2 linked regions of the Drosophila melanogaster genome follow. The protein of the gene in region 2 interacts with the protein of the main gene of each other region in a biochemical or structural test. Each region holds a gene or a part of one and is shown on either strand. Other genes may lie near its edges.

Evidence for each region.
Region 1: of the proteins of Abl (region 2) and Lar, one has a biochemical effect on the other in vitro, tested with the Drosophila melanogaster proteins (2 studies listed by BioGRID, with this or other methods).

What each region holds. Positions count from the first base shown.
Region 1 is NT_033779.5:19,604,754-19,608,353, forward strand, and holds the start of Lar (Leukocyte-antigen-related-like), read left to right. Parts: upstream 1-1,815; 5' UTR 1,816-2,328; intron 2,329-3,600. UniProt on the Drosophila melanogaster protein: Possible cell adhesion receptor. It possesses an intrinsic protein tyrosine phosphatase activity (PTPase). It controls motor axon guidance. In the developing eye, has a role in normal axonal targeting of the R7 photoreceptor, where it negatively regulates bdl.
Region 2 is NT_037436.4:16,644,458-16,651,998, reverse strand, and holds the start of Abl (Abl tyrosine kinase), read left to right. Parts: upstream 1-4,116; 5' UTR 4,117-4,855; coding exon 4,856-5,189; intron 5,190-7,541. Other genes in the region: baldspot, read left to right, coding at 464-601, 744-866, 1,417-1,924. UniProt on the Drosophila melanogaster protein: Arm and Abl proteins function cooperatively at adherens junctions in both the CNS and epidermis; critical for embryonic epithelial morphogenesis regulating cell shape changes and cell migration.

The DNA.
Region 1 (3,600 bases), on a different chromosome or scaffold from region 2:
AGCCGCATAAAAGTAATACATAAGTAAGGAAGTCGGAGAAGTAACAAAACAAAAAAAAAAAAGAGATAATTTCTTTGAGGCGGGATACTCACATGAGCAACAAATGCAGTTCATTGTCGGATCCTTCGTTTCCTTGGCTTTTTCTGTTGGCGTTTCCCAGTTTTTCCCACGGCGACTGCTGTGTCGTTTACATATCGTTTTTTGGCCCTCATCTCCTTTTTCTGGGCCACGTCGCGCTGTCTAAACGATTTACGACACTTTGGCCAACTGCCTCACGCACACATTTGCAATATTGTTTGTTTGTAAGTTTGTGTGGGTTGTGCGCGGGCGAGTGTCTGTGATATTAGCATGTAACGAACACACACACACACACACACAGATGCAGGAACAGGAGTTAACTTGGCCAAAAGGCAACACAAAATGCCGCACACGTTCGTTTTTATTATGTTAAATGTCTCCTGGGGCAGGAACATCAGCATCTGCGAGTTGTTTCCATCTGTTCGGTGGCTTTCTGCCTTTTAGCTTTCCTCCCTTCCTTTTGTCTTCTGACTTTTGGTAACTGTCACTTGGCTTGTTACATTTCACATTCACTTAGACTGCAGGATTAAATCTGGAGCGCGCCAAAAATCTAGCTAGCCAGGAAAATTAGCACAGGCCGTTTCTCGCCTTTTCCTGCTCGGCACTGCGCTGGTTCGCCCTTCTGCGAAATATCCTGCCAGCTCGTCCTTTCAGCCGATTTCAGCTTACTGCCCGCCGCTCCAGTTGAAACTGACGACTGGCGAACGACGGTCAAAGTCAATGGCGGGCTTTTCGTGGACGCGATTCGCTTTTCACCTTCGTCGACGGGCTCGGCGCCTAAAAGCCGAACCTTTCCGATTCACCCACGTCGAAAGCTCGTTTAGCCATCTCACCAGGCTCTCTTCGAGCAAGTCCTTGCTGAGAAGGATTGAGTTGCCTTAATCGCAGATTTGCTTCTCTTTGGTTTCATGTTCTAAGCCTCGCAGGTCTCGAATCTCGAAATTGAGTGAGTCTGTTTTGTTGCCTTTGAGCATTTAAAATGCGTTTACATTTCTCATATAAGCCTGTACTCTTTGCGTCTGCAATTCGAGTCCTTTTTAGTTGAGCTATAAATGTTATTACCCAGCAAGCACTTCACTCTAAGAGAAACATTGCTGGTTTTGCTATAAAAGCACTCAGTGATTATCTCAATGTTAAATAAATTAGCTCGAATCGAGCGAGCAGTGTAAACTGGATTTACCATTCCCATACATTTATAAGAATTAAATAATAATTTTTATAATGCTAAAGAAAATCCCAATTTTATATTAAATATAAAATATTTTTTGAAACTCATGCTAAAAATGATGTTTCGTAATTCCTCTCAGTTTATTTTACATTTTTTTCAAATTTATTTTATGTTATTTTATCAAATATTCCTTGCACTCAACTGTTCCATAACATTTTAAACTGAGTGATTTTTGAATGCTATTTAGAATCACTCCGATTTGTGTGCTCTTAACATTTCCCAGAATGGTTTGTCTATTCGATTGAGTTCTGAGTACAAAGTGAGTTCCTTTTGAGTAGCCATCCTTTGGTGTTTCTCTTCCATCGCTCGCAGCTTCGGCTGGCGAATTTCTCGGCTTTTCCGCTCTCCGGAAAAATCCACCACACTCGGCGCTCGGTCGGCGCATCCTCGGGCACGCTGAAGGACTCTTCGGGTCGAGTGGCGACTCACAAACGCACACACTGAACGCGAGGAAAACACGAGCATTGCTGCTAGCAGCCTTAGCCAATCGTAAAAGTTTTGTACGTATTTAGTACAATTTCGGGATTTGGCAGGATGTAACGAGCGTGTAAGAAACAGAGCGCGTCCTTCTCAGCCGTGTGTGTGCGATAATCGGGCAACAAGCAGCGCGACAGCAAATTGTATATTACACAAAATTCGCAAAAAATCCAACGAATCGTTTGAATCCAATTTCGAGTGATATAACATAACCACAGATCGTACTCGGTTATAATGCAATAGCAAAGAGCCGCAGCATTTCGAAAATCCGGCAAAGTGATTTTAGCCAAGTTAACCAAAAACCAAATCGTCGAACTCCTCGGCTTGCCTCGGTTCAACCCCCTTCAACCCTTTCTCCATTAACTCGTTGTTGCCGCTGTACTCGTACATATGTGTGCACTTGTTTTTGTGAACGTGTTTTGCCGCAAGCCGGTTAAAAAATTATTCCCATAATTACACCATCCGAGTTGCAGGCGAGGAACTTCCGCGAAACATAATTACCGAAGAACAACTGACGTAGCCGATAATACCTGGCGGATAAATCGGTAAAATCTAAAGAGAAAACAAACTCTGAAAATTATCAGAAGCCTGGTGTGTGGTGTGTGCGTGTGACCTGGAATTTCCTTATGAATATCGATATATATATGGACTTTATCCTTATCGTCCTGGCCCTGCTAATAAGAAACGGCAATCCTGTGCCGCTGCTCGAGATGGAGATTGAAACGATTGCCCCGGGGAGAAGGGGATTCCTTCGGTCTCCCCATCCTTTCTTCCGTAATAGTGTCGTTTCCTTTATTTGTCCTTTTATGTTTACCTACTTTTTCTTTTTGTGCTCCGTCGTTTCGTCGTGGTTTGGTTTGGTTTGGTTTAGTTTGCTCGCACACAATTGAAAATTCAATTGATTTACAAAATGAAGTTTACTGGTTGGGACGACAGATACTTTTTATCTATTTTCATTTGCAGTTTTACGAGCGAGCAGCTCTTTTTTCGGCCCGCTCCTTTTGGCCTCAAAGCGAAACGGTTGGCAATTTTTCACAGTTCTTTTTCGATTGAGGTCCTGGCGGGGTTTCCTGCAGTTTGGTGCGAAAATAACGCTGCGTCCTGCAAGGATTGTTGTGGCTGATGTTTTCGCTGCCTTCCGATTCGGGTGTGCCGAGAGTGTGTGTTTGTGATTGGAGCGGCCTAAAATCGTTTTAGGACCAGCTGCGAAGTGATTTTCAGCTAAGGCGAAAAAAGGACTGCAGTGTGTGTCCTGTGTGAGTGTGGGTCTGCAGATTGACATAGTTATGTCCTCGGCAAGTAATGGGAAGTTCTTGGCAAGAGCTCAAGAAAATTTAAGTTTGGCCTGGCCTTGCAAAGCTAAATAAGATTCTATATATATAGGTTGTTTTAAAGCCAAAATGTTTACTAATGCTTAAAGCTGTTCTCAAAATGAAGCATTTTTCAATTGACATTATCTGCTATTCAATATTTTCAAGCGAGTTCCTTATTCAGAGCCTTCTGCTCAATTCTCTAGTATAAAATATTATTTTTGAGTAAATTCTCAATAAAACTTATAAAAGTAAATATTCTGAAAAAAAGCCTTTCCAAGTGTTTTGACAAGTATTTAATATTTTCGTTGTAGAAACTCGTACAACACAACTCAACCTAAAATGTCTTTCACCACTTGCCTCAAGGAACTTTCCTCGTTTTTGGTGTCAAGTGTTTTTATTAGAAGCAGAAGCAGAAAGGAGAAAAATTGCCGACGAAGGGGCGAAGTAAAAATTTTTCCTTTCATTCCTTTTTCGATCCAAACTTGAAATGAGGTTTGAAACAAA
Region 2 (7,541 bases):
AAAATTCGCACATATTAAGTGCCTGCTGCCTGCTGTGGCAAATAACAACTTGATCTTTGACTGTCACGCTCGTCTAGGACGGAGGCATGGAAAATTGAATATCGTTAGAGTTTGTTGATCTTTTGGGATTTTTTTTCCGCTGCAATTTCGCGATTATTGGCACCGGGTAAATATGCATCATTCATTTCAAGGGCCAACTAGTAAAATATTCTAGTATTTGCTTTTGGTAAGTGTGGGAGTCGGAATAAAAATAAAAATTGTTCTGAAGTCATCAGCCAGCTTGCGAAGCTAACTTTTATTCGTAATTGATTTAGAATATTTAAATTTATTATATAAATTAAGGCGCGCAAAGTCAGCTGTCTGGAAAAACCCCAAATTCAAGCGATCTTGGTACCTTTCCACTGTATTTTTCCTGCATGGCTAAAGTTTCCTTTCCTTTTTGTTTTTTTTTTTTTTATTGCAGATTCCAATTGCGCGGCCCGCTGATCATATGGAACACCTTGCTGGCCATGTTCAGCATCATGGGTGCTGCCCGAACGGCGCCGGAGCTGATTCACGTGCTGCGTCACTACGGACTCTTCCACTCCGTCTGCGTGCCCAGGTTGGTATTGAACTCCCCATCGGCCTTGCATCGACAGGTTCCAGTGCCTGTCTGTCCGCATGACCTGCTTGTGCGGCTGGAAACTTGATTGCCATATGCAAATCAACGATCACTGACCGATATTCCCAACCTTCTCCCACAGCTACATCGAGCAAGATCGCGTGTGCGGCTTCTGGACCTGGCTCTTCGTGCTCAGCAAACTGCCGGAGCTGGGCGACACGATATTCATTGTGCTCCGCAAGCAGCCACTCATCTTTTTGCACTGGTAAGTTTAGCGAAACACTGACTGGGCATCCAAGATCCACTCTTAGAGTAGTCAAAAAAGATGGAGTGATAATATAACATCCTGCAATATGCTCCATCTTTGGAGAAAAGCTACTTATGATGACAATTTGCATCACATGTGGCGGCATCTGCTAGAACTTGTACTCATGTACCATAAGGAATACTGCTGTCTAAGTTCAATCAAAGAGAATTTCCTTATATTATTATTACTAAAAGATAAAAATGCCCTTTCACTAGACAAGCAACACCAGTAAACCAGTAAAAATACGTTTTATAGGTGCAGTGAAGCAATACATATGAGTCATAGCGAATTACTTTTAATGAGATTCACTGACGGTTATTTCGGCATATGAAACTAGCGTTAATTATATGTTAGGCTTAGTTAGGAAATAAAAGGTGCGAATTATTTGTGATATAAGCTGTTTCGATTGATCAAAATGATTTGATTTGAATATATTGTAGTTTCCCTGAGAACGCTAACAATTAACTAAACTTGAACTTTATATTAATTGAATAGTTTTCGCTCACAGGTATCACCACATCACCGTGCTGATCTACTCGTGGTTCAGCTATACGGAATATACCAGCTCTGCCCGCTGGTTCATCGTGATGAACTACTGCGTGCACTCGGTGATGTACAGCTACTATGCTCTGAAGGCGGCCCGCTTCAATCCGCCCAGGTTCATCTCGATGATCATCACGTCGCTGCAGCTGGCTCAGATGATCATCGGATGTGCGATCAACGTGTGGGCCAATGGCTTCCTGAAGACGCACGGCACCTCCTCCTGTCACATCTCGCAGCGCAACATCAATCTGTCGATCGCCATGTACTCCAGCTACTTTGTCCTGTTCGCGCGCTTCTTCTACAAGGCGTACCTGGCGCCCGGTGGTCACAAGAGCCGGCGCATGGCCGCCTCCCTGGCAGCCCAGAATGTGGTCAAGCAGTCGAGCAGCCCCCAGCAGGCCAGCGAGAGCTCCAAGTTCATCGGCGCTGGCGAGGATCAGGCAGCCTATCTGCGCAAGGCCAAGGCGCAGTAAAACGGAGCTCGGCACACCAGCACCTAACTCCCATCATCACCACTCCCCCTGTTTACGGCTAAGGACCTTTATTTATGTAGCGGTGTACAAGTTGTTTTTTAATTTTAAACCTGGGTGGCACACGACCGGTCGGATGAGAGTTTAATTTTGTAAGCCAAAAGTTGTACCGTGTGGACAGGCGTACGAACCATATATCTGAACATGTATATAAAAGAAGAAAAAAACAGACGAACCTAAGCTAACCAAAACTCAGAGTCGAGTCAGAATAAACTCTATGTAATTGAGGGGCAAAGAAGCGAGCGCATGAAAAGCTTGAATTGAAATCTCTAGATCTCTCTAGGGATATGTGAAAGGAACGCAAGGAATTTAGCTGCTCACTAGTTTGCATGCGTTTAATTAATAGTCACTCCTCTTGATATCTCTCGATGTATTTCCCAGCTGCAGTTCTAGAAGTGTCGTTGATGTATAGAATTTATTTATATTTCCGGTGTTATTGACATGCGCCAAATGAATGTTTTGTTTTCCACTAGCCCCTGAATGTATTTCGATATTTGCGTTGTCAGCTATAATTTACCTCTCGGGTGGAATTTTGTGTTGCCTCCCAATTTTAGTTAAAATTCTCAAGAAGGATCAGACTCCTGCCTTCAGTTTGGATATCGCACAGTTTGCGATACTTGAACGACAGGCATTTTTGGTTGAAATTGAATTTGATTTACTGGAGAACTGTTTTCCTAAAATCACTTGTAGTTGGGGTCTGAGAACTTTGTACTTCTAAGTCTATACGCATATATATTTATAAAAACCTATATTAACGGAATATTAAACACGTGAAAACGGAATACCAACCAATAACAAAACACTAAGTTAGTCTATTGTTCCAAGATCCAGAGCGCAAATTGTTATTGTAAAGTAATAAACTGTTTTCAAATCTGTAAGAACAAACAATATTTATAACAGTCGAAAAGACGTCTGATAAAATGTTGCTGACTGACTGGATTAAGTCGAAGCATTGTCATAGTCACCAATAAAATATTTTTGAAATTTTAACATATATTCCAGTCAGTCAGTATAGTTTTAACCAGTGTGTCAGTCATGCTGCAATACAAAAAGTTCGATTCTGTTAGGGGAAGGCATTTATTTAGTTAACCTGTGTTAAATGCATTTGAATATTCCTTCAAATTTCTTGCTGCTTTTTGGTAACTTAACAAAGCCACAGAAAGTCCTTGAACGTAACAAAAAAAAAAAAAAAAAAGAACGTAAAATAATAATAACCAGAGAAAAATTAAATTATATTTATACTTGTAAGCGAACAGAACAGAAGAGATCGCATGTGAAAGAGCAAAACCGAGAAAATGAAAAGCAAAAGTCCTACTTGAAAAGTTAATTTAGTGTAAGCGAGGAAAATGTAACTGAAAATGAAATCGGAGCAGAAGCTGAAGGAGGATCGTGTGAATGGAGAGAAGGATCGATTGATACTGAACTCTAGCAGGAGAGAGAAATTGAAACGAACAAACTTGAAATTTCTGTCGGGTATACATACTAAATAATAACTAAGCAAGAACACTAAAGATTGAGAATGCTAAACAAAACCAACGGATAAATAAAACGTAACAAACGGAAAAGGATGGAAAGTATTGCAGTTGTATTTATTAGTCGGGCTAAATGGGAATTTATGAATACATCTAAAGGCATATTATAAAAACCGTAGCTTGATTATTCGATGTTTTTAAATGTCAATTACATTTTGATTTGAGTCAGTTTTCTCTTAAAATCAATAAACTAAACTAGGGTTGACGCAATAGTCGAAAAAATTCGAAGTGTATCCATGAAAAATTAAAGATAATGTTATAAGTTGCATTGCATTGAAAATCTAAAGAGAATAAACTTTTCCTAGAAAGCTATATCAAGATTCTTTTAATTCAAATTATGTGTTTTAAACGTTTGAATTTAATTTTTTTTTGAACAACCAAAAATTAGTGTTCACAATCATGGAGTTTTTAAGCACTGGCTTACTAAGCTAAGTTAACCACCCAACCAGTCCGTGTCGCGCACCCATCATATTGCATTAGCCGAGTTTCTTACCAAACTAGCGCTGCCAACGCGTTCGTAAGTACTAAGCATTTATTATCAATATCGATACGTCTATCGGTATGCTGCCAAGTAGGGTATGTTTAAACGACCGACAAGCGGTCACACGAGTGCAAGTTGGATTCCAATTCGATCCGTCGCGGTGCGTGGAAAAAATGCACAGATGTAGATAAATCAGCAAGCAACGCTAGCAGATCAGATAGAGCTATATCGTCGCGAAAACCGATTAATTTGCCATGTTCAGCGGATCAGCCTGCGGATCAATTAAACCGTAAAAAACAGAGCAGGCGAGCGTAAGCAAGAGAGAGAGGTGAAGCCAGAGGCGGAGGCGCAAGACAAAGTGCATTTTCAGGGCGTGTTTTTGAGACCCCCCTCGCCAGTTAAGCTCACCCAGCCTCCCAGCCGTCGACAAGAAGTTTGCCGACACAACATTTTACCAACATGCTGCAAATTCGCAATTGCACCTGAGCGGCCACTAGAACAACAAATCAGATAAATCGCAAACTTCCTTTTTCCTCCGTGCGTGTGTACTTCTGTGTGTGCGTGAGTGTCTCCAATCTTTTTTGTCTACTCCAAAAACGCAGAAAGAGAAAGAAAAATGTGTGCGTGTGTGTGTGTGAAATAAATTAAAGCAAAGCAAAAGGCAAAACGGCAAATAATTGAGCAAAAGGCCAAGAGAGAAGAGTTAAAGCTGAAGTATATAACAAGAAAAGCAAAGCAAATAATAAGTAGTAGTAGTAAGCGAATAAGCCGTAGCAGCAGGAGCCGAGAGAAGAGAGAGAAAAGTGTACAAGTTGTTGTTGCTGCGCAAGAGCGAAAAACCACCCAACCACCCACTGGCAAATGGGGGCTCAGCAGGGCAAGGACAGGGGCGCCCACTCGGGAGGAGGCGGCTCGGGGGCCCCCGTCAGCTGCATCGGCCTCTCCAGCAGCCCAGTGGCCTCCGTTTCCCCCCACTGCATCTCCAGTTCCAGCGGCGTCAGCAGCGCCCCCCTCGGCGGGGGCTCCACGCTCCGTGGCTCCCGCATCAAGTCCTCGTCCTCCGGCGTGGCCAGTGGCAGCGGATCGGGCGGAGGCGGTGGCGGATCCGGATCGGGGCTGAGCCAGCGTAGTGGCGGACACAAGGATGCACGCTGCAATCCCACCGTGGGTCTCAACATATTCACCGAGCATAACGGTAAGTTCCTGCAAGTGTTGGAAAACAGGCATCGAAAGCATGCTAAGTACACAGAGCAAAAAGCATATTTTCAAAATTTGAAAGCCTTGTTAAGTCAAATTAAACGAAAAACGTCTGTACATAGTGCACGCTCAATCAAAATCGTTTTTATAAAATTAGGTGTGCACTAAAATTTTGTTTTCTATTCGAAGTTATTTAGTGGTTTGATCATTTTGTGTTTCGATTTCTGTAAGCTTGACTTATTTCTCATTGGTGTTTCTTCTTTTACATTGGATCTTAGAATTATTTTCTTGCACATTGTAGTTTGAGTTAAAAAGGCATCAATCGTAGAAATCATCTGGACCAAATCGATCTGTATAAGTGTTGTGTAACATACATATAAAAGTCAGAGGATGCACAAACATGCATACATTTGGAGGTCCCATTCACTTACACACTAATTGTAAAAAATTGCATGCAGCCTCCAAACTCAGGTGTAAATTCCATCATAGTATTGTGACTTTTCTTATTATACATGGAAATTGTTGTTGCTGTATTGCCAATTGCTCAGAGTTGTGTTATCTCACATCCACCACAATCATTTCAATTCGTGATGAAATCTTTTGATATTCCATACAACAGTTTTTAAGGACATTCAAGAAATCAGTAACTAAAAACTTATTCAATGGGGGTACTTTCAATAAAAAAATGCTTTTTTAAGCGTGCTCTTGCCATTAAATCTCTTTTGTAAATATCATGTAAGTTTTGATTTATCTGCCAGTTTGGGCTGCACAGTGTTGTATTTATTGTTCATAAAGTGCAGTCCACTCGGCTTTCCCTTTCCCCCTCTCTCCTTCTTTATGATCCCCGCCCTTCCTCTATATACGCTGCTTTCCAATTGAGCCAATTTCTTTTTTCCTCCATTTCTTCCGATTATATAGGAAATTATTGTTGTTATTGCCGGCTAGTTTCATACTTGTTGTTGCTTTTCCGCTGCTTTTGTTTACTGGAGAGAAGGAGAATGAATGAGAAAGAAAAGTGAAGGAGAGAAGAGAAAAGAGAGAGAGCAGCACGCGTTGCTGTTGTTTTTGTGCTGCTTGGGGCGGTTTCAATCCGCATTCGTGCTCTCCATCATCCTTTATCCTTCGGCCTTCCTCGTGGCACCCTTATCCCTGCCACCCGCACAGTGGTTGAAATTGCGACCCACAACACCGTTATCCCACCCCCGCTGACATATTGCCATTTCCTCCACTTTTCCGCATTTCCCCTTGCATTTTTCCTGCCCTTCACGCACTCACGCACATTTTTATTTGCCTCATTTTTTTGTCTAATACTTTTCCATTATTTGCCCTGCCAAGCTGCATAATTTTTTCTTTACATCCTCCCCGTTTCCGCATTTTCCGCACACCCACTTATTGGGAGACATTTGCCGTTTCTAATAGCTTTTTTATGTCCATGTCGACGAAGTCCTACCACAATAGGACCCACAATCGGGTGGCATTCGGGATTTTCTCAAGACTACCGGAAAAACATTTGTCAGGTTATAATAGTTACGCAGACTCAGTGGTAGAACTTTTTTTTTAACAAAAAGCATAACTATGTATGAGAATACATGACGAGGGTCGTATTAATAGTAAGGTAGTTTTTTAACTTGAAATCGTGTTGCCTTATTCCCCTGACAATTGCAAGCCATTTTCGCAACAGCTGTTTCAAACTGAAAGTGGACTTTTCCGAGTTTTGATATTTACACGCGCGACAATCTGTTCCTAAATGTATTAAATCCATAAATTTGCTTAAGTTCGAAAATTGAAATTTAATCCTTTATTATTTTACTTTTTAACTTTTGATGTAAATACTTCCTTTTGCAAACTATTCATCTCCCAAACGAATGGCTTGGCCAAAGTATTGATTTTTCCTTGGCACTCCAAGCTGAGCCACTTTTCCCAGATGATTTACAATAAGCTGTAGATTTTTCTTCTTGCTCTTCTCAACTGGAAGCCATTTCTTATCTCGCTCTCGCAGAGGCTTCCGTCTCACCAAGCAATTTGTAATCAATTAATGCTATTTTTATTATAATTAGTCGCTTATTGTGTGCATTAAGTTCAGTCAATCTCTCAGCTGGTACGCTGATAAGCCGGTTTTCATATAAATATTTATTGACGCTACTATTGAGTCATCGCTCCGTGCGATGCAATACATATGTACATATGTATGTGACCATCATCGGAAAACAAACAAACGACATTTTCCAGCTTCGTGCGGTGTTATTTCCCAGAAAAACACAGAAAATTCGCCAACGAAAATGCACATCTATTTGCCAAACTAGCAGAGTCTGTGTGTGTCTCATCATCCAAAAAGGTCGAAATGGGGGCC